Linked DNA regions of Stegostoma tigrinum. The protein of the gene in region 2 purifies or fractionates together with the protein of the main gene of each other region. This does not show direct contact. Links are inferred from orthologs where the notes say so. Each region holds a gene or a part of one and is shown on either strand. Other genes may lie near its edges. The genes, in order: cct8, dcaf7, csnk2b and protein diaphanous homolog 1-like.

Evidence for each region.
Region 1: the proteins of dcaf7 (region 2) and cct8 purify together in Homo sapiens (affinity purification with mass spectrometry; 3 studies listed by BioGRID and IntAct, with this or other methods). This does not show direct contact. The link is inferred for Stegostoma tigrinum from reciprocal best matches to the Homo sapiens genes DCAF7 and CCT8.
Region 3: the proteins of dcaf7 (region 2) and csnk2b purify together in Homo sapiens (affinity purification with mass spectrometry; 4 studies listed by BioGRID and IntAct, with this or other methods). This does not show direct contact. The link is inferred for Stegostoma tigrinum from reciprocal best matches to the Homo sapiens genes DCAF7 and CSNK2B.
Region 4: the proteins of dcaf7 (region 2) and protein diaphanous homolog 1-like purify together in Homo sapiens (affinity purification with mass spectrometry; 5 studies listed by BioGRID and IntAct, counting the BioPlex papers as one, with this or other methods). This does not show direct contact. The link is inferred for Stegostoma tigrinum from reciprocal best matches to the Homo sapiens genes DCAF7 and DIAPH1.

Annotation. Positions count from the first base shown.
Region 1 is NC_081365.1:60,912,025-60,919,766, reverse strand, and holds the start of cct8 (T-complex protein 1 subunit theta), read right to left. Parts: upstream 3,021-7,742; 5' UTR 2,930-3,020; coding exon 2,870-2,929; intron 1,879-2,869; coding exon 1,788-1,878; intron 1,699-1,787; coding exon 1,619-1,698; intron 245-1,618; coding exon 95-244; intron 1-94. UniProt on the Homo sapiens protein: Component of the chaperonin-containing T-complex (TRiC), a molecular chaperone complex that assists the folding of actin, tubulin and other proteins upon ATP hydrolysis.
Region 2 is NC_081384.1:38,612,639-38,619,828, forward strand, and holds the start of dcaf7 (DDB1- and CUL4-associated factor 7), read left to right. Parts: upstream 1-4,185; 5' UTR 4,186-4,340; coding exon 4,341-4,637; intron 4,638-7,190. UniProt on the Homo sapiens protein: Involved in craniofacial development. Acts upstream of the EDN1 pathway and is required for formation of the upper jaw equivalent, the palatoquadrate. The activity required for EDN1 pathway function differs between the first and second arches.
Region 3 is NC_081387.1:27,162,016-27,168,854, reverse strand, and holds the start of csnk2b (casein kinase II subunit beta), read right to left. Parts: upstream 3,013-6,839; 5' UTR 2,842-3,012; exon of another isoform or gene 2,727-2,841; intron 2,696-2,726; exon of another isoform or gene 2,563-2,695; intron 1-2,562. UniProt on the Homo sapiens protein: Regulatory subunit of casein kinase II/CK2.
Region 4 is NC_081366.1:6,063,372-6,070,786, forward strand, and holds the start of protein diaphanous homolog 1-like, read left to right. Parts: upstream 1-4,410; 5' UTR 4,411-4,824; coding exon 4,825-4,923; intron 4,924-7,415. UniProt on the Homo sapiens protein: Actin nucleation and elongation factor required for the assembly of F-actin structures, such as actin cables and stress fibers. Binds to the barbed end of the actin filament and slows down actin polymerization and depolymerization.

The DNA.
Region 1 (7,742 bases), on a different chromosome or scaffold from region 2:
TACTGGCCTGGCCAGCAGCATCAATATCCCAGGAATTAAAAAAAACACACGCCAAAACTGAAATGAAAGCAAAACTTTTTTGAAATCTACCAACCTCTGAAACTGAAAGACCCATTCGCAGAAGTTCCTCAGCTAGCTCCAGTAGTGCGCCAGAAAAAACTAGAACAAAATTTGTTCCATCTCCAACCTCTTGTTCCTGCATATGGGAAGCCATTACCACCATCTTTGCAGCAGGATGTTGAACCTGCATCCAGTAAGTACAAGAATTAAAACAAATTAGCAAAAAGTAGAACAAAAATTCTTGATGCATTTAATTGTTTACAATAACAATTTCCATGCTGTGGGCAAGTATTAAGACTGGTTCAAATGACTATAGTTACTGCTACAGAAAAACATCTAAAAGGATGTTTTGATGCTCATCTCAAAACGTATAGATGAATTTTCACAACTTTTATTTACAGTACCTAAGTAGGCTTTTCAAGGAGCTTCACAAATATATTGATATTAGGATAGGAAAACTAAAAGTGTCTTCAAATAGATAAGTTTTAAAGCACATTGGCAAAGAGAAGATAGATGCTCAGAGAGTTCAAAGGAAGGTTTTCAAAAACTTACAACCCAAACAGCAGAAGGCTCAACAGTTAAAAGGGGATCAAAAATTAGGATTACACAAAAGGCAGAGCTGATTAAGATGCTGCAGGGGAGTGGTCATGTAAGATGAATTGAGATGAGAATTTTATACGAGTGGCAAAAGGAAATCTATTTATCATAGGTAAAGGGATACACAAAATACACAAATTTTAAGCAAGGCTGAAGATCAATTTGCTTCAAACCAGAGCTAAGTTAATTCCAAATCAATTGATACTTACCTATTTAAAAGTTTAGATCTAAACATAAGAAAACAAAATTACCAACATTTGACTTTCTCTCTAAGCAAAGAAAGGAATGTAAATTTGTGTACCCTAAAAAGGAGATCACTGATGGGATTGAGGGTTGGGTTTGAACCGCATTTCCATATACTCTTCTGAATGGAATGCAATGAAAATATGCATCAGCTCAGTGAATATCACTAATATTAAAAAGTAAACATCCAAACTTACAAAAACTTTTATTTAAAAAAAACACAATCTTGTCACCCAGCCTTTGAAAGAATTATCATTTTCTCTGGCTCTCTAGCCTTCAATTAAGAAAGCTTTACTTTGCAAGTCAAGAGCTGATACTAATATTGGTATATCAAACTGGACTGAGGTGGTATTGAGGCTTAGTCAGTGAAAGCACATGCCTTGTAAATAAGAGATAACTAAGAGTTTCAATGTTAGTGGCAGTTTTCAGCCCAAAGAGCCTGAGAATGAACAGAACTGTTGTGGCACAGTCTTAATATCCCTGCCTCTGAGCTAGGAGGCCTGGGTCAATATGTATACACAAACATTTCTGTACAGGTTGCACACAAAATATTGAAACTGGATTGCTAATGCCTCTAATGGTGCAGTGGCAGAACTCCTACTTCTGGACCTAGATTCAAGTTCTACCTGCATCAGAGGTGAGCAATAAGACCTCAGAGGAGTTGATTAGAAAATATCTTGAAACTGGATTGTTAGAAGTGAAGTGACTCAGCACCTACCTCCAATTCTCGTAGTATAGTAGCAGCATCACTGGTAACAAAAAGTTTCTCCACATGATTGATGACCATTTTATTCATTCCTAAAAGGAAGATTTTTAACAAATAAACACCAGTAGTAAAACTGAAACAAAACACTTGCTCCAAATTATGAGAGGCAATATAATTGTACCATTTGGACCATAAGCTGTACGGGTAGTCTGAGCCAGTTCCTTGCAAGCTTGAATATTCCTGTAAACTGCCTCCTCCAAACCTGAAAAATGCTGAAATGTAAATGAATACAGATAAATAACAATTCCAACTTGCAGAATTACGATTTACATTCGCAGCAAAGGGGATGCGGGGGGGGATGTGGATCGGCGAGTGGATGGCGGACTGGGGGCAGGGTGGGGGGAGTGGATGGCGGCAGGGTGGGGGGAGTGGATGGCGGCAGGGTGGGGGGAGTGGATGGCGGCAGGGTGGGGGGAGTGGATGGCGGACTGGGGGCAGGGTGGGGGGAGTGGATGGCGGACTGGGGGCAGGGTGGGGGGAGTGGATGGCGGACTGGGGGCAGGGTGGGGGGAGTGGATGGCGGACTGGGGGCAGGGTGGGGGGAGTGGATGGCGGACTGGGGGCAGGGTGGGGGGAGTGGATGGCGGACTGGGGGCAGGGTGGGGGGAGTGGATGGCGGACTGGGGGCAGGGTGGGGGGAGTGGATGGCGGACTGGGGGCAGGGTGGGGGGAGTGGATCGCGGACTGGGGGCAGGGTGGGGGGAGTGGATCGCGGACTGGGGACAGGGTGGGGGGAGTGGATCGCGGACTGGGGACAGGGTGGGGGGAGTGGATCGCGGACTGGGGACAGGGTGGGGGGAGTGGATCGCGGACTGGGGACAGGGTGGGGGGAGTGGATGGCGGACTGGGGAACAGTTTGGGGGCAGATTAAAGACAGGGACAGCGTGGATTAGGCACTCTGAGTGGGGGGGCGGGGGAGGCCCGGCATCTCCATCGTTCCACCTCCCGACACTAGGCCTCTGACCGCCCCGAACACATGGAGGTCGAAGATAGTCTCAAGCCTCGGTATACAGTGGGTTCGAGCAGAGTGCCTGGACCAGTGAAAATAGGGAGGTTCGCGGCGGGAATCCGTCGGCCGCCGCCGATGCTTCTCGGCCTTTCTGGAACTTTCTGACATCACGCGCTCCCCTTTCAACGACCGAAACATCCCTCAATCCGAGTCCCTGATGTCCCTTCCACGGGCTCTCCGTTTCACAAACTTACCTTAGCTCCGTCTTTTAGCATCTGAGCCAAGCCCGGCGCTCGAGGGATGTGCATCGCCATTTCCAGATACTTTTCCTCGCTCAAACCCCAGCCAACAGGATCACAACGCCGGAGACGAACACCCACAGTGCACCGCAGCCGTGCCCTACGTCCCAGCTGTCACCGCGCCCTGTCGTGCCCTTCCTCCCAGCTGTCACCGCGCCCAGTAATGTTGTGAAGGAATTCTCATTGCCAGAAGTTGGTATTTTACGTTGTTTTAAGCCTTACTCGCCTAATTTTCTGTGCTTAACCTGTGAGGATACCGAAGCAAAGTAAAACATCACTCTAGCTTTCACTTTCCTTTGGCTATGAATAATTCTTTGACCTTACATTCATTTCATGCATCAAGTTGAACTGAGTAATGTCTGTGCAATTATCCTCTCCAAGTTAGCTGTTAACTATTGGCGTCTGTTGGCACTTCTCAGTTTTCCAAATGTGCAACATACTTGAGAGAAGGTGCTGGTACATCGAACCTCTCCCCTGTAGTCATATTTATCAAAACTGTAACAATAACCCATTAAAATACCCCAATGCGTTTTACAGGGGTGTGGACAGACAAATGATCAATGTGAGGTATTAGATCAAGCGGCCGTAAGTTTGATGAAACAAGTAGGCTTTAATGAATGTCTTTACAACTCTTGCCGTCTCTCAATGGCCCAAGACCATAAGAATCTGTTCTGCCATTCATTAAGATCATGACAGATCTAATATCCTCAACTCCACTTTCCTGTCTTTTCACCATAACTTTTGATTCCTTTGTTGATTATAAGATTGGAGCCTCAATGGTACTTACTGCTAACCACTACCAAAGACTACATTAACTGGATAATGAATTAAACAGAATTGCTTTTCTACTTCGGACATACAGGATGGGTTGATTGGCCACCTGTTTTCTATGATTTATATATTTCTTAAACTCAGAAAATGAGGCAGAGAACTTCAGTGAGCCAAGTTCAAAACTTAGGATGGACAGCTGAAGGCATGCCCACTAACAGAGTGTGGATGGCCAGAATTATAGGTGCACAGAGGGAAGGAAGTGGTGAGATCATAGAGGGATTTAAAAACTTGGATGAATTTTTTAAAATGTTTTTTTTATAATCAGAGGCCAGTGTGGACCAATAAGCATGGGCAAGCATTGTGGGTCATGGGAAGTCAGTCGGGATATTTTGGTAAGGTAAGGAAACAACGATAAGCATTGTTGTCAGGAATCCAGAGAACACTGGCTCTAGTTTTCGGCTTATATAGAGAGGAATATTAAACAAGACGTGCTGCTCAGATGTTTTTATCACTAAAGTAGACCTTATATATTTTCCCGCAAACTGAACTAGGACCTACTTCTACACCCACTAGAGTCATCTGACATTCCCCAAGTAGTGACAGAATATGAAAGCTAATACCTGACCAGGATAGCTGCGACAGCTGATGAGAGCTGACATCAGCCATGTGCTGCATTCGATGTCATTACCATGTCCTATTTTGAGATACTACATTTAATTCCCTCATCTAAATCATTAATTTGTATCGTGAATAGCTGGGATCGTAGTTCTGATCTGGGTAGTCTCTGCCTGCCATTTAGAAAAAGAGCTATTTATTTGTCCTCTTTATTTTCTTTTGGTCTGCTAACCATTTTTTCTATCAATCTCATTACACCACCCCTAATCCCATGTGCTTTAATAATGTGGAACTTTATCAAAAGCCTTCTGAAAGTCCAAATAAACCACGTCCACTGGCTCTGCTGATCAAATCTACTGGTTACACCCTCAAGGAATTCCACTAAACTTATCATGCATGATATGCCTTTTGTAAATCCCCGCTGACTGTGTCTGATAATCCCACTGTTTTCTAAGTGCTCTGCTATAAAATCCTGGATAATAGATTTTAGCATCTTCATCACTACTGACATCAGACCTGTTGGTGTATAATTCCCTGTTTTCTCTTCGCCTGTCGTTTTAAATGGTGGAGCTGCATTAGCTACCCTGTGATTTATAGGAGCTGTTCCAGAGTCTAAAGAATCTTGGAAGGTGACCACCAATGCACCCACTATTTCTCGGTCCAGTTCCTTTAAACCTTTCAGATGTAGATTATCAGACCCTGGGGATTTTTCAGCCTTCCATCTGATCAATTTCAACAACAGCATTTCTCTACTAATACAGATTTTCTTCAGTTCTTCCCTCTCACTAAACCACATGTTCTCCATCATTTGAGGTACATAATTCATTTTTGATGTTTCGTGGGGATTTTATACATTTTGCGATGGCTGTTGAATGGCAGGGTACAATTTCAGCAAACTATTCCCAGTGAAGTCATGAAAAAAGTGAATAGAAAAACTGTGGCATGTGGATTTCAATGCAGGCAAATGTGAGATTTTCTTCGGACCTAATGGATAGAACAGACTACTTTCCAAATTGAAACAGGTGACAAATGCTGAAGGTCCAAAGGAACTTGGAGTCCAGGTACATGGATTTTTAAAATATGCTGGATGGGTACAGAAAATAGTCAAAAAGGCTAAGGGAATGCTGGTATTTATATCCGGAAGAATTGAATGCTAGAGTGTAGAAATTAAGCTGCAGCTTTACCCAGTTCAGACTGCACCTGGAGGACTATAAGCTGTGCTGGGTACCATAGTTTAGGAAGAATATTCTAACTTTAGAAGGAGTGCATGATAGATTTACCAAAATGATGCCTGGACTCAAAAGGTTAAATTGGAGGAAGCACTGAGGGTGGCAAGGGAATAGGCTGTATTCTGGTTGGGGGACTTTAATGATCCATAAACAAGAGTGGCTCTAAAACACCAGACTAACCAAGGTAGCCAAACCCTAAAGGACTGGGCCTTTGGTAGGTGATGAAGGGACCGACAAGAAGGGAAAACACACTTGACCTCAGCCTCACCAATCTACCCACCATAAGTGCATGAATCCATGACAGTATTGGCAGGAGACACCAGTGGACAGTCATTGTGAAGTTGAAGTCTTCACATTGAAGGTATCCTTCATGGTGTTGTGTGACACGATCATCATGGTAAATGGGATAGAATTCACACTGATCTAGCAATTCAAGATTGGGCATCTAAGAGATACTGTGGGCCACAGCAGCATCGGAATTGTATTCAACCATAATTTGTAATTTTGAGAAGCTGGTAGTGAGCTGGCTTCTTGCATCACTGCAATTCATGTAGTGTATGGAGGGAGTTTGGGATTCTGATCCATGATGCCATAAGATATAAGACCAAAATTAGGCGATTCAGCCCTTCTACTCCATCATGGCTGATGTATTTCTCAATCCTATTCTTCTGTTTTCTCCCCACAACCTCTGATCCTACCAATCAAGAACTTACCTATCTCTGTCTTAACATCACTCAATGACTTGGCCTCCACAGACTACTGAGACAATGAGTTCCACAGACTCACCACTCTCTGGTTGAAGAAAAAACTCCTCATTTTAGCTCTAAAAGGTCACCCATTCACTCTGAGGAAAAACTCAGTGGATCTGGCAGCATCTGTCAAGAGAAAGTAGAGTTAATGTTTTGGGATCAGTGACCTTTCTCTTTTAGCTTGGAAAAGGTTGGTTTGTGTATTGAAGATAGGGTGAGGGAGGGAGGAGGAGTAAATGATAGATAAAGATGGAGCCCAGAGAGAAAAAAATAGTTGGGTAGACACAGGAATCGGCAAAGGTCAGCCTGGGAGAATGTACAACTGCTAATGGGGACCATTTGTAGCTCGCAATTGAATGTTTGTGGTATCAGCTCATGAGATGACAAGGCCTGAAGTGTGGGGGTCGGCCTAAGGACATGGGAGAAGGTGGTCAAGACCTAAAATTATTGAACTTGATGTTGAGTCCCGAAGTTTCCAGAGTCCCAAAGTGGAAAATGAAATGCTATTCTTTCAGCTTGCACTGACCGCCTACCACAGTCTAACAGCTATGTCCTTCCAGGTTTGGCTGGCTTGGTCAGTCTGCTGCTACAGAGCCATTCTTGTTTAAGGACTATTAAAGTCCACCAAGCAGATTAAAGTCTGTGCTTTTTCCACCTTTCGTACTTCCTCCAATTTAACCCTGAACTTTGCTGGAGCACTGCAGCAAGCCTGAAACAGAGATGTTGGCTAGGGAACATGGTGGTGGGTTGAAGTGGCTTACAGCAGGAAGCTCAGGATTGTTTTTGCGGACAGAACGTAAGTGTTCTGCAAAGCATTTGCCCAGTCTGTGTTTTGTGTCCTCAATGTAGAACAGACCACATTATGAGTAGCAAATACAGTAGACTGTGGACATTAAAGGCCCCAAATGGTCTGAGGTTGGGCATTCTTCGGTGAATATCTCACTTCCCACAAAAACTGTTCACCATCTATTTAGTACAAGTTAGGAATGTGATTGAATGTTTCACTGCTCACTATGCGGTCTGCTGTACATTGGGAGGATGAAATGCAGACTGAGTAACTTCTTGGCAGAACAGATTTGCTTTGCGTTTAGTGACAGATTTCTGATCAAAATGAAAGTAGTGGCAGGAAGAGTGAAAATTGGTATAAAAGCATTCTGGCTAGTAATTGAATAAAACAGCATGAATTTGTATTCCTAATCACTAGTAGTGACCCTGTATGGAAAATAGAGATTGTGTAAAAGCAGAATTGAGCCTCAGCCCTCGTCATCCCTGCAGTTAATAAGTTATGACACTCAGTTTCTATGCTTTCAGATGAAGAATGATCACATGGACAAATCACCAAAGGGTTTCTGTTCTCTTTCTAACTTCATATGGCTTAACTTAGCATCTTAAGGGCAGAAATGAGGACAAATATTGATAAATGCATATTATTTTCTTTTAATTTGTGCATAAAGTTATTGATTT
Region 2 (7,190 bases):
ATGTTGGAACCTGCAAGATTTTCAGAACTTGTGTTTCTTAACGCCTGAAGAGAAAAATTTTCTCTTTAAGGTGTTGGATGAGATGAGTGAAATGGAACTGCGGACAGGGACAGTTTTGAGATAACAGTAAACTGATAGAGAGTCAAGAGTGTGCCTACGGTGCTGAGTGGCATTGAACATGGATCTCAGGATGTGGCAGGAGTAGCTGTCTCAGGAGCATTATAGGTTTTGAAGATAGGTGTAATCCTGGGTGGATTCAAAACATGAAGGATGGAACTTCAGTTGGAATATACGTGGGCTAAGATGAAGCCAGCGGCAGTCACTGAAGAAGGATTAATAGTCCAGTGCTGTTACTGCTACACCCTCATCTGATTCCTGTTTTATTATTTATTCCCAAGCCATCAATTTTTTGCCTTAAGTCTTTCCTGTAATATCCTGCCTTTTTCTGCTTACAATAAGGCCACTTATAGTTCTTCTGGATCACTCACCCTACCATCTTACTACTTCAAAACTTTTGCTATCATCCTTTCTGCCAGGACGTGGGTCTCATCCCAGTTCAGATACAATATGTTTGATTGGTGCATCTTCTTTCTGTCCTAGAATTGCTGACGTGGTGCATGAAAAAGTGCCTCTCTTTCCCACACCAGCCAGTTAGCCTCATATTAATTCCCCTGATACATTTGCTCCATCACCAGTCTGAGAGTCTCACAATAATCCATGTGGCCCTTTCTTATTGACTTGTCTTAAATCCCCATGATCCAGCTCCCTATCTCTCACACCTCTCCTTTCCTGATGCTGGGTCTTCTGTGACCATGTTCTGGGCAAAACTGCCCAGAAACTCTGCCACATTCCTTATGTCAAAGTCATCTGATGCCAGAAGCCCACATCTGTGCGGGTTAGAACTGTTCTAATCTCCAAGTGCTATCTCATCTGGTGCATATTCCCTGTTCGGTGCCATCCATCTACATGCTCCCCACTGGGCAGGCACTCCACCGCCAAGCCTCAACCAACACAGGGAGATGCTGTATTGAGACAGCTTCGCTTGTTCTGGAGAACCATACATTGTAGAAACTACAACTGTCTGCTTTTATTGTGGATAATAGTGGATCGTAACCAAGCTTTGAAGTGCTACCATCACTGGCTGAACAGAAATCACCGTGCTAGAATTGCTCCTGGCTTGTTCCCAACAACCAAACTGAATTGACTGGCCACACCGAACCCAAGAGCAGTGGGTCTTCTACAGTCCTGGGTGATGGTTATTGGTTCCTGATGTATCTCCATGAACCAGGATCTACCTGCCACATCAGGTTATGAATAATGAATAAAAGTGAAGTTGGAAAAGCAGAGCAAGTCAGGCAGCATCCTGTCTGAGCTGCTGTGCCTTTCCAGATTCACATCTATTGACTCTGGCTTCCAGTATCTGCAGTCCCTAATGTTTCTAGGTTATGCACAGTGATAGACAATGACAGAACTAACAAGAAGATATAAAAAACCGAAAGAACTATGGATGCTGTAAATCAGGAACAAAAACCAAGTTGCTGGAAAAGCTCTGGCAGCATCTGTGAAGGAAAAAACACAGAGTTAGCATCTCTGATCCGGTGACCCTGATTTCTGAGACATTGAGAGCTGCGTTCTGAGGAAGGGTCACTGGACCAGAAACATTAACTCTGTTTTTTCCTTCACGGGTGCTACTGAGCTTTTCCAGCAACTTTGTTTACTTAACAAGAAGAGATGCTAGGGAAGGTGATATGATAGCAACATTTAAGAGAGATTTAGCCACAGGAACATGCAGGGAATTGAGGGAAATTGATCATGTACAATCAGGTGGGATTTGAATAGCATCATGGTCAGCATGGACATTGTGAGCCAAAGGGCCTGTTCCTCTGCTGTTCTATGTTCTAAAACAAAGTTCCAAAAACCTTCTAAGCTATGATTGAGGCCTGCAAGTGAGAGCAAAAGACAGGTTGAAGAATTTGCTATCATCAGCCACCAGTGCTGAGTGGACAATTCATCTCGCCTTTCTCTGAGATCCCCAATATTATAAATACCAGTTGTCAGCCAATTTAATTCACTTCACGTGAAATCAAGAAACATTTTAATTGACTGGATGCAGCAAAGATTATTGGATCTTACAACAACCTGACTGTAGTAATAAAGAGTCATGTTCCAGATTTGTGAAGACTGGTCAAGCTGTTCCAAAACAGGTACAATACTGGCACTATCTGACAAGGAAGAAAATTGTCCAGTAATTTCTGTCTGCAAAAAACAATGTAAATTGAATCTTGCAATTATTATTCCATCAATCTTCTCTTGGTCATCCACAAACTGATTGAAATTGATTGTTTCTGTAAGTACTTATCCAACGCTAACCTGTTAATAAATGTTGAGTTTTGGTTGTTTGTCCCACCTCGTTACAGATTTGTGTGAAACATAAGGAAAAAAAGTTTCAATTTCAGAAGTGAGGTGAGGTGAGTGAAATTGTCAGTAAAATTAAAATCAGTTGGAACTAGAAAAATCTTTCCACTGCTTGGAGTCATTACTAGCACAAAGGAAGGTGATTGTGCTTGTTGGCCATTTATCCTCAGCCCAAGGAAAGTGCTGTAGAATTTCTATGAGGTAGTGTTCTAACCCCAGCGTCTTCATCGACAGTCATCTCTCCCCAAAAATCAGAAGTGGGCTGTTTTGCACTGTTGAACACCTTAGATACTAAAACATTCTGTGTTTTCATTCAGGTTTGGATGATAGGTGACAGCTAACGTTTATGTCACTTGTATGACTGGCAATGACCATTTCCAACAGAGATTTTCCCATTGCCATTGCCCAGAAATCTGACTGGACTAGCCTTATAGATTCAATGAATATAAGTGTCGCGAATCGTGCAGTCGGTTCTCCTCTACTCCTCAGAACCAGTCCACCATATGAACATAAGACATAGGAGCGGAAGTAAGGCCATTCAGCCCATCGAGTCCACTCCGCTATTTAATCATGGCTGATGGGCATTTCAACTCCACTTCCCTGCACTCTCCCCGTACCTCTTGATTCCTTGTGAGCTCAAGAATTTATCAACGTCTGCCGTGAAGAATTCAATGTCCTGGCCTCCACTGTGCTCCGTGGTAATGAATTCCACAGGCCCACCACTCTCTGGCTGAAGAAATGTCTCATTTCCATTTTAAATTTACCCCATCTAATTTTAAGGCTGTGCCCACGGGTCCTAGTCTCCCTGCCTAACGGAAACAACTTCCTAAATTCCACCCCTTCTAAACCATACATTATCTTGTACGTTTCTATTAGATCTCCCCTCAACCTTCTAAACGCTAATGAGTACAATCCCAGGATCCTCAGCCGTTCATTGTACATTAAACCTACCATTACAGAGATCATCCATGTGAACCATCTACAAGTTAGGAACATAATGGAGAAAGGTTGAGAGAGGGAGCTGACTTGATAGATTGAGACGGTCAAGGCCTGGATGGGCATGTGTGGGGAGGGTGGTGTAACGGTGGGGGTCCCAGTTTGAATAACCACCATCTGACCCAGAATGACCTCTGGGGAATCTCACTCACGGTTTGCTCTCCACAAACTTCCGGAGTGGGTTAGGGCGGGAATTTGGACATTGTATCATGACCATCCACCAACTGTGGGTGTGAGGGTGATGGGGGAGGGCCGCAGTGCATCAAGCCGGGAACCTGCTTTCGATTGGTCCGCACGGCTGTCATTCAATACCGTCTCGGGACACGGAAAGCCCGCCTCCCCTATGATTGGCTTTCTTCGTTGCCCATCAGAGCGTGTAGGGCGCGCGAATCTTTGGTCCCAATGTATAACTGCCCGCTAATTATCTAATCAGCCACTGGGCCTGCGCCTCTCATACTCACTCTGATTGGTGAAACCACTGTCAATCAAGCTGAAGGTCGTGTTTGATGTTCAAAACTCACCCAGCAACGGACAAAAAAAACCGCCTATCAGGTTCCCAGAATTCTTTTGTCCGCACAGCTGTCAATCAAGGACGGGGTCAGCGCCCGCCTCATTGGCTGGTTTCGATTGGGTAGATTCTATGTCACTCATTCGGCGCTTTAACATTTTTACCAATCAAAGCCAAGATATCAAAAGTCGGCCCCCGTCTTTATACTGGACTGGTTATTCGAACGGTCGTTCGGACAAGGACGGGCTGTGATTGGTGAAAGAGGCTGTCAGTCAGCAGTCGGTTTCCGTTGTGACTTTGAGCGGTTTATTGTTGTTGGGCCCGGGCCCAGGGCAGCAGGGCGACGGGGAGAGTGAGAGTGAGCAAGCGAGGCTGGGCCGCGCTGGGCTCCGAGCGCACGGCCTGACATCGCCATCCCAAGATGAGCATGCACGGCAAGAGGAAGGAGATTTATAAGTACGAGGCGCCATGGACCGTGTACGCCATGAACTGGAGCGTGCGGCCCGACAAGCGGTTCCGCCTGGCGCTCGGCTCCTTCGTCGAGGAGTACAACAACAAGGTGCAGATCGTGGGCCTGGACGAGGAGAGCTCCGAGTTCATCGCTCGCAACACCTTCGACCATCCGTATCCCACCACCAAGATCATGTGGATCCCCGACACCAAGGGCGTCTACCCCGACCTGCTCGCCACCTCCGGAGACTATCTACGGGTCTGGAGGGTAAGGAGATGCCGCAGAGTGAGGCCTGTCTGGGGATTTGGGGATGGCGGGAGTAGGGGAAGAGGGGTGATTAGGGAGAGAAGGGATTGGTTCTGGGAATTGGGGTGATGTAGGAAAAGGTGGGTGGGGAATGAGGGGTTTAGGAAGAGAAAGTAATGAAAGTAAATTAGGGAGAGATGAGAGTGCACGATTTAGGGGTGAAGAGTTGAGGGAGAGTACGGTGGAGTGGACAATAAAGTGGTAGTGGAGGAAATGGCTTGGGAGAAGTATAGTACGCAACATTGTGAGCTATTGGGATAAGTATGGCAGTATTTTTTTCCCCTGTACTTGATAGCCTGTGAGCAGTGAGCCAGGTTGGCAGTTGATTAATCTTTTGGTAATGGGGGTAGTTGTTGTATAGGCAGGTTGAACTTCAGTTTAGTTTGAGAAGTGAATATTCTCCATAATGTAGCACCTTCTTGGTTTTCCCCACAGTTGCGTTGTTGGTCATGATGCATGATTAGTGCTTTGTTATTTTATGCCCTGATTTGTCTGAAGTGAAACCAGTAAAGACACAAGAGGCTTTCAGGTCTTGAAGCTTACTGGTACAGTCTGGAGAGCATTAACGTATTTAAAGTTTTTGAGGAGAGTTGTAGCTCGGGTTGTGGATGAGGGGTGTAGGCTTACTTGCCAAGCCGGTGTGTTTGGTTGCAGATGTTTTGTCACCCTGCTAGATAACATTGTCAGTGCATCTCCAATGAAGCGTCGGTGTTCTGAACCACTTGTTGTTTATGTGCCTCGGTTAGATTAGATTCTCTACAGAGTGGAAACAGGCCCTTAGAGCACCCACCCAGACCCATCTTCCTATAACACTCACACCCCTGAACGCTACAGGCAATTTAACATGGCCAATCCACGTAGCCTGCACATCTTTGGACTGTGACATCTTTGGTTGGCATTACTTCCAACTTTGTGTTTCAGTGGTTTGTATATCAGGTCCAGTTCAGTGTGTTTGGAATGCCAGGTCTCCAGGAATCCCCTGGCATGTCTCTGTTTGGCTTGTGCTATTACGGATGTGTTGTCCCAGTTGAATTTGTGCCGCCCTTTGCCCAAGTGTTTTGAGAAAATTAGTCGTTCCTGTTGGTAACACAACACGGCCAGATGTACAGCAAAGACATATCCAAAATTACCACAAGACTGCTCAGACTCCTAGGTATCAGGGTAGCCCACAAACCAACAACCACCCTGCGACATACACTGACGAATGTAAAGTATCCCATACCCACAACCAATAAAACTATTGTAATCCACAAAATACCACACAAGGACTGTGAAAAACATTTACATCAGCCAAACTAGAAGAAAACTGACAATAAGGATACATGAGCACCAACTAGCTACCAAGAGAATTGACCAATTCTCACTGGCCTCAATACACACTGACAAAGAACAGCACGAATTCGACTGGGGCAACACATCCATAATAGCACAAGTCAAACAGAGGCATGGCAGGGAGTTCGTTGAGGCCTGGCATTCCAACCAGAACTCCATCACCAAACACATAGAACTGGATCTGATGTACACACCACTGAAAACAGAATCAGAAGTAATGCCAACCACCCCAGCAAACTGAGGCATACAAATAACAAGCAGGACGGAGTACCAGTGCTTCACTGGAGGCAAGCCGATGATGTTACCTGGCAAGGTGACAAAACTTCTGCAACCAAACACACAAGCTGTGTGAGCAAATTTATATTGTTCATGTGTTTTATGGATAAAATGTTTGTGAATTTTTAGGAGATGTTTTTGTATGAATGTAATCACTGGTGTAGCATTGTTCTAAAGCTCAAGTAGCAAATCAGAGACCAAAAAGACTTTAGTTTGACTCATACGCTGAGTAACATTAGCTGTGCTCAACCAATCAGTCATTGGTATTCTTCTTGTAATCTCATAATCTTATTCAGCGAAGGAAGAGACAGCAGACAGGGTTTCCCATCAGCTTTTTCTTACTGCTCCGTATGGAGTGTGCTGTAAGTTGCTTGTGTTTGGAAATGAATAAGACTGCTCTCTTTTCTGGACATTACAGTCCTCTTGCTCTGGGTTTGTATGTTAAAAAAATTGACCATGTTCTGGGATTTTGGGTATAGAATCTCATCCCAGTGTCAGAAGGATTGAATCGAGTTGTGAATTGGGAGGAATTCCCCCACTGCTTAGAAGAAATTTAGTTGATCGTTGAGTTATCAGTGCAATAAACAAAAGAGCTAAGAGAAATAATGCTACATCCTTGTCGTCTGGACTTCTACAGAAATTGCTTTCCCTGTCTATTTTTTTTCCATCCTTAATATTTATGTCAAGCTATCTGCTTTATGCTTGGATGAATGTGTGAGAGTTAAACAGGTACAGATTATCTTGCCTTGTAGTAAGGTTGTAGTCCCTATTTGTTTGTTTGTGAAAATATTGATTTGTAGTTGTCACGTACTCTGATACAGTGAAAAGTGTTAGTTTGCATGCTATACAGGCAGATCACATCATACAAAGTGCATCAGGATAGTAGAATGAAGTGTCACAGCCGCA
Region 3 (6,839 bases), on a different chromosome or scaffold from region 2:
ACTACCCACTAAACCCCACTACGCCCCACTACCCACTAAACCCCACTACGCCCCACTACCCACTAAACCCCACTACGCCCCACTACCCACTAAACCCCACTACGCCCCACTACGCCCCACTACCCACTACGCCCCACTACCCACTACGCCCCACTACCCACTACGCCCCACTACCCACTACGCCCCACTAAACCCCACGCCCCACTAAACCCCACGCCCCACTAAACCCCACGCCCCACTAAACCCCACTACCCACTAAACCCCACTACCCACTAAACCCCACTACCCACTAAACCCCACTACACCCCACTACGCCCCACTGAGCCCCACTACCCACTAAACCCCACTGAGCCCCACTACGCACTAAACCGCACTACGCCCCACTACCCACTAAACCCCACTAAACCGCACTACGCCCCACTGAGCCCCACTACGCCCCACTACCCACTAAACCCCACTACGCCCCACTACCCACTAAACCCCACTACGCCCCACTACCCACTAAACCCCACTACGCCCCACTACCCACTAAACCCCACTACGCCCCACTACCCACTAAACCCCACTACGCCCCACTACCCACTAAACCCCACTACCCCCCACTACCCACTAAACCCCACTACCCCCCACTACGCCCCACTACACCCCACTACCCACTAAACCCCACTACACCCCACTACGCCCCACTACCCACTAAACCCCACTACCCACTAAACCCCACTACGCCCCACTGAACCCCACTACACCCCACTGCCCCACTGAACCCCACTGCCCCACTGAACCCCACTACGCCCCACTACTCACTAGACCCCACTACGCCCCACTACCCACTAAACCCCACTACCCACTAAACCCCACTACGCCCCACTACTCACTAGACCCCACTACGCCCCACTACCCACTAAACCCCACTACGCCCCACTACCCACTAAACCCCACTACCCACTAAACCCCACTACCCACTAAACCCCACTACCCACTAAACCCCACTACCCACTAAACCCCACTACGCCCCACTAAACCCCACTACACCCCACTACCCACTAAACCCCACTACGCCCCACTAAACCCCACTACGCCCCACTAAACCCCACTACACCCCACTACCCACTAAACCCCACTACCCACTAAACCCCACTACCCACTAAACCCCACTACACCCCACTACGCCCCACTACCCACTAAACCCCACTACGCCCCACTACCCACTAAACCCCACTACGCCCCACTACCCACTAAACCCCACTACGCCCCACTACCCACTAAACCCCACTACGCCCCACTACACCCCACTACGCCCCACTACCCACTACGCCCCACTACGCCCCACTACCCACTACGCCCCACTACGCCCCACTACCCACTACGCCCCACTACCCACTACGCCCCACTAAACCCCACGCCCCACTAAACCCCACTACCCACTAAACCCCACTACACCCCACTACGCCCCACTGAGCCCCACTACCCACTAAACCCCACTGAGCCCCACTACGCACTAAACCGCACTACGCCCCACTACCCACTAAACCCCACTGAGCCCCACTACGCACTAAACCGCACTACGCCCCACTGAGCCCCACTACCCACTAAACCCCACTACGCCCCACTACCCACTAAACCCCACTACGCCCCACTACCCACTAAACCCCACTACGCCCCACTACCCACTAAACCCCACTACGCCCCACTACCCACTAAACCCCACTACGCCCCACTACCCACTAAACCCCACTACGCCCCACTACCCACTAAACCCCACTACCCCCCACTACCCACTAAACCCCACTACCCCCCACTACCCACTAAACCCCACTACACCCCACTACGCCCCACTACACCCCACTACCCACTAAACCCCACTACACCCCACTACGCCCCACTACCCACTAAACCCCACTACCCACTAAACCCCACTACCCACTAAACCCCACTACACCCCACTGCCCCACTGAACCCCACTACGCCCCACTACTCACTAGACCCCACTACGCCCCACTACCCACTAAACCCCACTACCCACTAAACCCCACTACGCCCCACTGAACCCCACTACGCCCCACTACTCACTAGACCCCACTACGCCCCACTACCCACTAAACCCCACTACGCCCCACTACCCACTAAACCCCACTACCCACTAAACCCCACTACCCACTAAACCCCACTACGCCCCACTACCCACTAAACCCCACTACGCCCCACTAAACCCCACTACCCACTAAACCCCACTACGCCCCACTACCCACTAAACCCCACTACCCACTAAACCCCACTACCCACTAAACCCCACTACGCCCCACTAAACCCCACTACCCACTAAACCCCACTACCCACTAAACCCCACTAAGCCCCAGCCCCCCAACCTGCAGGCTCATCATAAAACATGGAGCGACGTGCAGAAGATCTCTCGTCCTCCTCCTTGTGACATGCAACAGCAGAACCAGCCATACCTGGCCTCTACCCCAGAGAGGGAGGGGGGATGGGGGAGGGGGGGAGAAGCTCACAGCAACAAAACACCGCATTGAAACAAACCAGGCGATAAGGGCGGTGATGTCTAACCTCGGGCTCGGCAGCCTGTAGGCCGTGCGTGGGATTTCAGTCGATGTGAGGAGCGAGGGGGAAAGACCCACCATCAAACGTGGCCCGACTTCCCGAGAATGGGGGCGGAAGGGGGTGGGGAGAGAATGCGTCACTTCCGGGTGCACCGCCATCAAACCCCGCGACTACATTTACCGTCAGGCAGCGCGCCGCAGGACCAAGCCGCCCGCGCAACGCTCGTCGATTCCGCGCACGACAGAGGTAGTCGGAAGCGCTCAGGCCGCCGCGTTAAATAGTTACCGATCGAATAGGATCGAGCGGTTTTCTTTTTTTTAAACAAAAGGGCTGGCTGTCAAAAATAATAGCCGCCGGTCGAGAGCGAAAAGGAAACGCGCAGAAGGACGAGCGGAGCCCAATCAACGGATCCGTCCGGCCCGGCGCCCTCTCTGATTGGTCTCGGCGGGGCGGGGAACACCACGTGACATGCTCTGACCCCGCCCATTCCACGCCCCGCCCACGTAAGTCTGACGTCGCAGTGCTTCCCGCCCCCACACTAGCCACGCCCCCTTCCCTTGCTGACGCCTAGCCTTAGCCCCGCCCCCGCCGTGCGGCCCACTCACAGAGGCTAACCACGGTTACCTTGTAGGTGTTACATCTCTAACTGTGTAAAACCGCGTGTATTTTCCCATCTGGGGGACGGGGGTGCAGGGCGTATGTTTGCTTTCTCTATGAGGGGAGGTGGGAGTGAAAGAAGTCCGTTAAGATGTACCGGTCAGGGGAGTAGTTGTTTCGTGTGTTACCGATCTGCCGGCTTTCATTATTATTGTGTGTCCCTCCGCCCTATCCCCAGGGTTTCTCCTCATTTCCTGCCCCTCCACGCACCCAGGCACGACCCACTTCCGGTCACCCCGCTCCCCGCAGGCACGACCCACTTCCGGTCACCCCCTCCCCGCAGGCACCACCCACTTCCGGTCACCCTTCCTCAACCCCGCCCCACCACGGCATGACCCACTTCCAGTCACACTTGCTCATCCGCCCCCCCCCCCACCACAGCATGACCCACTTCTGGTCACACTTCCTCAACACCCCCCCCCCACCACAGCATGACCCACTTCTGGTCACACTTCCTCAACACCCCCCCCCCCCACCATGGCATAACCCAGTTCCAGTCACACTTCCTCAACCCCCTCCCTCCCCACCATGGCATGACCCACTTCCGGTCACACTTCCTCAACCCCCCCACCACAGCATGACCCACTTCCGGTCACACTTCCTCAACACCCCCCCCCACCATGGCATGACCCACTTCCGGTCACACTTCCTCAACACCCCCCCCCCACCATGGCATGACCCACTTCCGGTCACACTTCCTCAACTCCCCCGCCACCATGGCATGACCCACTTCCAGTCACACTTCCTCAACCCCCTCCCTCCCCACCACAGCATGACCCACTTCCGGTCACACTTCCTCAACACCCCCCCCCACCATGGCATGAACCACTTCCGGTCACACTTCCTCAACCCCCCCCCACCACGGCATGACCCACTTCCGATCTTCCCTAACCCCCGCCCCGCCCCAGACATGACCGACTTCCAGTCACCCTTACCCACCAACCCCTCCGACCCAATACCTTCCCTTGTAACTGTAATAGATGCAACACCTGCCCACAAACCACTCCCACTGTGGCCCCAGACGGTCCTTCCAGGTGAGACAGAGCTTCACCTGTATCTCCCACAACCTAGTCTATGCATTCAGTGCTCTCGATGTGGCCTTCTCTCTGTTGGTGAGACCAAATGTACACTTGGTGACTGTTTCGCCAAGCACCTTAACCTGGCTCGTAACAGCCAACCTAACCTCCTGGTCATCACCCATTTCACCTCATCGTCACGCCCCCCACCCCCACCTCACATGCCCATCCTTGGTCTCTTCATGTGGGTGTCACTGCCTAGGGAGCATTTATTTCCCATCGCTGATAACAAAGTGTGGGGCTGGATGAACACAGCAGGCCAAGCAGCACCTCAGGAGCGCAAAAGCTGACGTTTCAGGCATAGACCGTTCTTCAGACCCTTTTTCTGCAGTTCCCATTATCTCTGTTTCCCATCCCTAATGGCCTGGAGGGCAGCTAAGAGTCAGCCACATTGCTGTGGGTCTGCAGTCTGGGCCATTTTCAGTGTTAAGTATGCCGCCTCGCTCCCTCCAAAACAATTGGCTGTGGGTCTGGTTTCCCCCTGTTCAGATCAGACTGTGTAAGGACAGCTGAGTGTGGGACTGACGAGCCTAACACCTTGGAACCAGTTCAGACAAGTTACCCTGGTTCTGATGGACTGCCTGAGTATTTGGGGGAAGCAGATGAAACAAAGCCGGGTCATCTGGCCATGTGAGGAGAATTTAGATTACAACGATGGAAGTTTGGTGAGAGAGGCCGGTTTGGGATGAGGAAAGTAAGGTGGGAAGGCAAGGAGAGTGCAATTCCAAAGCTAGAGTTTGCTGCCTGGGAATCTGAAGGCATGGCCCTGGTGTGGTACTGTGTGAGAATGACCAACAGATCAGGCTGAGAGGAGCATGTATTTGGAGGGTTGTGAGTCTGGGGGCAATTACAGAATGAGGGGAGGTGCCGCGGAGGCATTGGAAAACCAGGATTAATGATCTGATCATGCTCAACACGGCATCTCCCCCTTAGAGACAATCAGGTGGTGGTATGAAGGCACTTGCGCTGTTGAGGTTCATTTTGAGTGCCTGTGTCTGAAGGATTGGTCCATCTGTAATGCAGAAGTGACACCTGGGCTTTCCCCTTCTGTAAATAGATCACTCAAAAGGCTTTGGGATTTTTTCTGGTTTTATTTTGAAGATATTTCCTGGAAGTTATATAGTTGAAGCTGAAATAAAAACAGAAAGTGACTTTCCCAGGCACTTCCAGGTTTTGTTTCTTTGCTATTTGAGTGTTTTGCTGTTGCGTGGCTTTTAAATTTTTTTTATTCATTGAATGTGGGTGTCGCTGGCTCAGCCATATTTATAGTCCATCCCTAATTGCCTAGAGGTCAGTTTAGAGTCAACCACATTGCTGTGGGTCTGGAGTCACGTGTAGGCCAGACTAGGTAAGGCTGGCAGTTTCCTTCCCTAAACGGCATTAGTGAGCCAGATGGGTTTTTCCCAACAATTGACAATGGATTCACAGTCATCCCCCAATAAACACTCCTGGGACAGCTACAGCATGGGGTTAGATACAGAGTAAAGTTCTCTCTCTACGTTGTCCCTATCAGACACATTTATAGTGGAAGGGGGTGTCTCAAATTGGAGACCTGTAACCAGTGGTGTTCCACAGGGATCTGTGCTGGGACCACTGTTGTTTGTGATATATGTAAATGATTTGGAGGAAGGTGTAGGTGGTCTGATCAGCAAGTTTGCTGATGACACTAAGATTGGTGGAGTAGCTGATAGTGAACGGGACTGTCAGAAATTACAGCAGAATATAGATAGACTGGAGAGTTGGGCAGATAAATGGCAGATGGAGTTCAATCCGGGCAAATGCGAGGTGATGCATTTTGGAAGATCTAATTCAAGAGTGAACTATACAGTAAATGGAAAAGTCCTCGGGAAAATGGATGAACAGAGAGATCTGGGTGTTCAGGTCCATTGTTCCCTGAAGGTGACAATGCAAGTAAATAGGGTGGTCAGGAAGGCATATGGCATGCTTTCCTTCATTGGGCAGGGTATTGAGTACAAGAGTTGGCAGGTCATGTTGCAGTTGTATAGGACTTTGATTCGGCCACATTTGGAGTACTGTGTACAGTTCTGGTCGTCACATTACCAAAAGGATGTGGATGCTTTGGAGAGGGTGCAGAGGAGGTTCACCAGGATGTTGCCTGGTATGGAGGGTGCTAGCTATGAAGTGAGGTTGAGTAGATTAGGATTATTTTCATTAGAAAGACGGAGATTGAGTAGGGACCTGATTGAGGTCTACAAAATCATGAGGGGTATAGACAGGGTGGATAGCAAGAAGCTTTTTCCCAGAGTGGGGAACTCAATTACAAGGGGTCATGAGTTCAAAGTGAGAGGAGGAAAGTTTTTAAGGGAGATATGCGTGGAAAGTTCTTTACACAGAGGGTGGTGGGTGCCTGGTACACGTTGCCAGTGGAGGTGGTAGACGCAGACACGTTAGCGTCTTTTAAGATGTGTCTAGACAGATACATGAATGAGCAGGAAGTAGAGGGATACAGATCCTTGTAAAATAGCTGACAGGCTTAGAGGATCTGGATCAGTGCGTTTTGGAGGGGCCGAGGGGCCTGTTCCTGTGCTG
Region 4 (7,415 bases), on a different chromosome or scaffold from region 2:
ACATCGTGCGCTGAAGTGCCTCTTCTGTGCTGTACTGTTCTATGTTCTATGTTCTATGAATGGCCCAATGTGAACCGGAAATGGCTATGTATTGAAAAATTTACATCAGCGCCAAGGGAAATGAGGAAACGTTGAAAGTGTGGGACCTACGTGTTCCTGTAAAGTGAATAGCGGGGCCAAATATTCCAGAGATCCCTGGATATCAGTGAATTTTTCAGTGCTGGATAAAGAGAAAGGGAAGATTTAAGTGGATATCAAGGGCTCAAAACAGCCCTAGAGGAGCACAAAAAGTGCATGAGCTACTTAAAAGAGAAATTTGCAGAGTGAAAAGGCGCATGACAGAGACGGTCAGAAGTTATTTAACCTGAGGGTCACCACACTTCAGTCGAGATGTTGAGAAGGAGAGTCCTTCACAGTAATGTCAATTGGTGCAGAAATTGAGCACATGCCACTGCCATCAGTTTGCATCGCAAACCAGCTCTACAACCAACTGAACTAAGGTAGCATATCCTTTGAAGAGCACCCTCCTAAAGAAGTAGCACAAATGAATCAGGGAGAATTTTGAGTCATAGAGTCACGGAACATAGTGGCAGGCCCTTCGGCCCACCATGTGTATACAGACCAACAAATTATACAAATCCTATTTACCTGCATTTGGTCCATAGCCTAATATGCCCTGACGTTTTAAGTACTCATTCAGATGTCTCTTAAATGTGATGCTTCTTTGATGAGGTGGTTGCTTTTTGAAAAGGTTTTGATTCACATAAATATTAATCTAAGCAAAAAACTGTGATTCATTCAAAACCAAGTGAGTAGGTTGCTGATAGATATTTAACTGTTCAAGGCCAATATGAAAAGATACTCCAGGACTGAAAAGGAAAGAGTTGGTTTAGAATTTATCTGCTATTTATATAAGAAGTTTTCCATAAACTTTCAAAATGAAATGGAAATACTTTAAAGGGTGAAAAGCTAAAACGAGAGAATAAAGTTGCCACCCCAGAAAGCTCGAAGGCCTAGCACGATATAATGTTGCAATCTGAAAAACAGGATATGGAAGTGAATCTGCAAGCTGTACAGCCAACAGACAAGACATTCGAGAGGGAGATCCTGAAACTTCAAGGCAAAACTTCAATGGCACATTTTTCAAATAGAAGCACTTGACAAAGTAAAGAATGACAGTATTGAGCTCAGACAGCAAATTGGCGAAGCGCATATTTAGCCCAACACTGTATCATTGAATGACTGGACGCCAATGATAAGCTGTAAGAAATGATGGAGAGTTTAAAAGAGGAAGGCTAAAAGGCAAGGAGTAATGCAAGTAGAGCTGCAAGCTTTTACTAGAAAAACCGATTGCAAAGAATTTGAAAATCATAAGCTGCAGAACTATTACACAGAGCTTGAGAGTACCAGGCTGAAAACCATCTGCTGCATGTTGCTTTTGCTTTGAAAGAAAGATTTACTTACTGTTACAACCAAGAGAGGAAGAGTAAAGCAGCAACTTCTCTTTCGATTCCTCCCACATCCTACAAAGGGGGTGGCCACGGGCACCTGCATGGGCCCCAGCTATGCCTGCCTCTTTGTAGGTTACGTGGAACAGTCCCTCTTCCGCACCTACACAGGCCCCAAACCCCACCTCTTCCTCCGTTACATTGATGACTGTATCGGCGCCGCCTCTGGCTCCCCAGAGGAGCTCGAACAGTTCATCCACTTCACCAACACCTTCCACCCCAACCTTCAGTTCACCTGGGCCATCTCCAGCACATCCCTCACCTTCCTGGACCTCTCAGCCTCCATCTCAGGCAACCAGCTTGTAACTGATGTCCATTTCAAGCCCACCGACTCCCACAGCTACCTAGAATACACCTCCTCCCTCCCACCCACCCTCCTGCAAAAATTCTATCCCCTATTCCCAATTCCTCCGCCTCCGCCGCATCTGCTCCCACGATGAGGCATTCCACTCCCGCACATCCCAGATGTCCAAGTTCTTCAAGGACCGCAACTTCCTCCACCGCAGTGGTCGAGAACGCCCTTGACTGCGTCTCCCGCAACACATCCCTCATGCCACAACTGCCCAAAGAGGATCCCCCTCGTTCTCACACACCACCCCACCAACCTCGGGATACAACGCATCATCCTCCGACACTTCCGCCATCTACAATCCAACACCACCACCCAAGACATTTTTCCATCCCCACCCTTGTCTGCTTTCCGGAGAGACCACTTTCTCCATGACTCCCTTGTTCAGTCCACACTGCCCTCCAACCCCACTACACACGGCACCTTCCCCTGCAACCACAGGAAATGCTACACTTGCCCCCACACCTCCTCCCTCACCCCTATCCCAGGCCCCAAGATGACTTTCCATATTAAGCAGAGGTTCACCTGCACATCTGCCAATGTGGTATACTGTATCCATTGTACCCGGTGTGGCTTCCTCTACATTGGGGAAACCAAGCGGAGACTTGGGGACCGCTTTGCAGAGCACCTCCGCTTGGTTCGCAATAAACAACTGCACCTCCCAGTCACGAACCATTTTAACTCCCCCTCCCATTCTTTACATGACATGTCCATCATGGGCCTCCTGCAGTGCCACAATGATGCCACCCGAAGTTTGCAGGAACAGCAACTCATATTCCGCTTGGGAACACTGCAGCCCTAATGGTATCAATGTATACTTCACCAGGCTCAAAATCTCCCCTTCCCCCACCACATCCCAAAACCAGCCCAGTTCGTCCCCTCCCCCCACTGCATCACACAACCAGCCCAGCTCTTCCCCTTCTCCCACTGCATCCCAAAACCAGCCCAGCCTGTCTCTGCCTCCCTAATCTGTTCTTCCTCTCACGCATCCCTTCCTTGCACCCCAAGCCGCAACTCCATTTCCTACCTACTAACCACATCCCACCTCCTTGACCTGTCCGTCTTCCCTGGACTGACCTATCCCCTCCCTACCTATACTCTCTTCTCCACCTATCTTCTTTTCTCTCCATCTTCGGTCCGCCTCCCCCTCTCTCCCTATTTATTCCAGAACCCTCACCCCATCCTCCTCTCTGATGAAGGGTCTAGGCCCGAAACGTCAGCTTTTGTGCTCCTGAGATGCTGCTTGGCCTGCTGTGTTCATCCTGCTTCACACTTTATTATCTTGGATTCTCCAGCATCTGCAGTTCCCACTATCTCCTTTTTAACTTTCTCTCTATCAATTTCAAAAAAATTTTTAAAAGTTTTTTAGATTCCCTACGGTGTGGAAACAGGCCCTTCGGCCCAACAAGTCCACACCTCCCCTTGAAGCATCCCACCCAGACCCATCCCCCTATAACCCATACACCCCTAAACACTACGGGCAATTTAGCATGGCTGATCCATCTAGCCTGCACATCTTTGTACTGTGGAAGAAAGCCGGAGCACCCAGAGGAAACCCACGCACACGGGGAGAAGGTGCAAACTCCACACAGACAGTTACCCGAGGCTGGAATTGAACCTGGGTCCCTGGTGCTGTGAGACTGCAGTGTTAACCACTGAGCCATCATGCCGCCACACAGCTATATGAAGTGTCATTTAAAATGCGATTACATCGATCAAAATGAAGAAGCCAATTACAATGTTTACTTGAATGTAAGAAAAAAAGACATTTTGAAATTAAAAATATAATAAAAGCACATCAAATACATACAGCATGACATAACTTTAAAAGAGAAAGCATCTGATACAGACAAGGTTATGCAGTTTTATTGTCCTTTGACTCCTTGAAGTGTTAAGATTTTTAACCTGAGACCAAATGTATTTGTTTTATAAAAACCAAAAGAACTGCAGATGCTGTAAATCAGGAACAAAAACAAAGTTGCTGGGAAAGCTCAGCAGGTCTGGAAGCATCTGTGAAGAAGAAAACAGAGTTAGTGTTTCAGGTCCAGTGACCCTTCCTCAGAACTGATGGTGGCTGGGAAATCATCAGTTTACATGCAGAAATTCGCGAGGTGGGTGGGGTAGGGAGTAAACGATAGGATAGAAGAGAGAGAAAGACACTTGGACAGACAACAGAGTTACTAACGATCAGGCTGGGAGAGTGAATAATTGTTAACGGGGATTGTTAGTGACCAACAACAGGAGGTGTGTAATGGCAAGCTATGTGGTAACAAAGCTGGATGAACACAGCAGGCCAAGCAGCATCAAAGGAGCAGGAAGGCTGACGTTTCGAGCCTAGACCCTTCTTCAGAAAAAAATTCAGGCCTGCTGTGTTCATCCAGCTGTACACTTTGTTATCCCTGGCGTTGAGGGGCTGTGTTTCATACTGTGTCAGTGCCTGCCGCAGGAGTGCAGCATTGCCTTTCTCCCCTGTGCCCCCACCTCGACCCCGCCCCCTCCCGCGAGCTGGCGCTCGCTGAGGGAGCAGCGTGGCTCCAAGGGCAGACGCTGCCCGGTCTCTCACACACAACCATCTGCAACAATTTATACAGAATATTTTAACTTCGTTTGTTCTCTCTGCCCACTTTCTGGAAGGAAACGGCATGTCATTACCATTTTGGCAAAAAGAAGTACCGTGAGGCGAGGGGAGGGACTTACAACACCACACCCTCCACCCCTCCCCGCTGAGCGGGCTCGAGTAGGAATCGCAGCCGGCAGCCCGCGCCTAGGCCCCGGGCTCTGGCCGTCAGCCGTTCACAGCGCTTGGCAAGAGTGGGAGGGGTTTCGAAAGAGAAGGACAGGAACAGTCCACTACACCCCTCCGCATTGAAAGAGCAGCCGAATGAGATACGTTGATCCAAGAGATTAGAGACTGAAAGGTTTCAGGAGAAAATAAGTTTACCACGGGAGCAATAAATAAGTAAAACCATGGAGGGAAGGAATGAGGCTTCAGGTCCTTCTAGGGGGAAGGAAAAGTCCGGTAAAATGAAGAAAAGCCTGGAGGAAGGAGAAAAGAAAACCAAATTTGTGAGTTCTTATGTTTGCCTTTAGAATTATTTTCTAATTTGGGGGGATAGCTGTGAAAGTGTGGAAGGTTTCACCTTTGTCTGAAGACCACAGTTGTGAGAGCAGCGCCCTTACCTGCCTGTGCAGGTACTCTGAAGGCCCCCATCTCTCAAAGGGGCACAGAGGCGTCCCAAAGAACAACCCCTGAGCTGAAATAGGCGCTGCCTCTATATATTTTCTCCCCAGTTGTGTATTTCTTTTTCTTGATTTCATCACGAACACTGTCGAGGCAGTGTCGGTGGTTCGGCGCAGCCGTCCTTTTGGCGCTCTGGCTGCCCCCACTTTTCACGAGAAGGAAGGTTATTGGGAGTATTGAGTTGATAATATGTGTCTATATGGGCGTGCAGAAGGCACTACTTCCCACTTGCAAAAGGAAAGTCTTTTTTTTCGCTATTGACACATTTCTGCTCAACCTGTCATGTTGCCGAGCACACTGACTCTCTCTCGTCCATAGTCATTGGGTCACGCCAAAGTTTAAAACTTGTTTAGCACGTTCGTACTCAGATTTCCGTTGGTCACTGCACTGAATTCAAATCAGCAAGCGAGAATTATTTTTGTTCAGCATTGTATATGTTGAGTGGAACAGAATTTGAACTGCACAAATAAAGTCTCGAAGTTCTTTTAAACTTAGCAATGCTGTATTATGGCTGTTCAGTACCAATCCTACAGTGCAAACATGTGGTCCGGTCAAATTTAAAAGGGGAGCTAAAGGCCATTCCTGTTTTGAGTTTTTGCATGTTTAAGATAGGTGCTCCAGCAGTGACGTATGCTAAAGGTAGTGGGGAGCCAGTTGTTCATTCCACCACCTAGACATGTGGCTAGCTGTCTGTTACACTGGATTCTACAAATCTTGGATCAGTGCTCTCCTGTTAATGTCTTTTAATCAAAGTTGTCTACTTAGCCACATGTTTTGATTTCCAAACGTTGTTATGCTTGTGTATATATGAAAATTTTTACAACAAAATTTTCTGCTGCAATGTTCGTGTTGCTTCTGAGGGTCTGCATTTTCACTTCCTTCACACCACAGTCCCCGGTCTCGTCTTCCTTCAATTTTCTTCTTTTTTTAAACATAGCCTTTCATGATAGTTATCTCAAATGTAACTGTCTTTACATGATAATACTGGCATAAGAGAAATGTTGCTGAGCTAGTTATACATAGATTCAAGCAAACATTTGGAGCACGTGAGCTTGAATCCATCAAAGCAGCTGGTGGAATCTAAACTTTATTAATAAAGTCTGGAATTTTTAAGCTGGTCTTATTCATAGTGACAGTGAAGTTATTGATTGTTGTAAAGATCTAGCTCATTCACTACTATCATTTAAAGGAGGAATTCTACCAGAGTTACCTGTTTTGGTCCACGTGTGGCTTAAGATCCAAAGAAATGTGATTGAGTTTTGACAAACAGTTTTCAAGGACTTTTGGAGTGATGAGCAACAAATGCTGACCTTGTCAGCAATGCCTACTTCCCATGAAAGCCTAAAATAAGTTTAAAAACAAAAAGAACTGCGGATGCTGTAAATCAGGAACAAAAACAAAGTTGCTGGAAAAGCTCAGCAGGTCTGGCAATATCTGTGGAGGAGAAAACAGTTAACATTTCTGGTCCGGTGACCCTTCCTCAGAACATTTGCCTCATTCCTCCTCGTGGGTCCTTGCTGTGCATAGATTGGCTAGATTTGCTTTCGCAACGATGATGACTAAATTTGTTATTCAGCTGTTTAAGGCAAGATATAAAATCAAGTCTTCATACCTGGAAAGCTAGTTGGGTCACCTGGGAAGTATTTCCCTTGTTTAAAGGTTGACTGTATTTGAAAATTGTTTATTTAATTCAAAGTACTGTAGGGAATTCAGGTGTTGTGAAAGATGCTATGTAAGTGTAGTATGTGCTATGTTTGCAACACTTAATTTCGCCATTCTAGAGTCAGAGTTGTAAAGCACGGAAACAGACTCTTTGGCCCAACCCATCCATGCTGACAAATATTCAAACTAATGTAGTCCCATTTGCCAGCATTTGGTCCGTGCTCCTCCAAAGCCATCTTATTCATATACCCATCTATGTGCCTTTCAGGTGTTGTGGTTGCACCAGTTTCCACTCCCTCTGGCAGCTTATTTTGATACGTACACCAGTCGTGCAAGAAAAAGTTGCCCCTTAGGTCCCTTTTAAATCTTGCCCCGCTCACCTTAAACCTATGCTGTCCAGTTTTTGACTCTCCCACCCTGGGAAAAAGCTTATGTATTCACCCTAACCATTGACCTCTGATTTTATAAACCTCCTTAAGTTTACCCTTCAGCCTCTGCTCCAGGGAAAATTGCCCCAACTTCTCCCGTGAGTTCAAACCCTCAAACTCCAGCCATATTCTTGTAAATCTTTTCTGAACCTTTTCAAACTTAACAACATCTTTCCTATAGCAGGGAGACTAGAAGTGAATGTACTATTCCAAAAGTGGTCTAACCA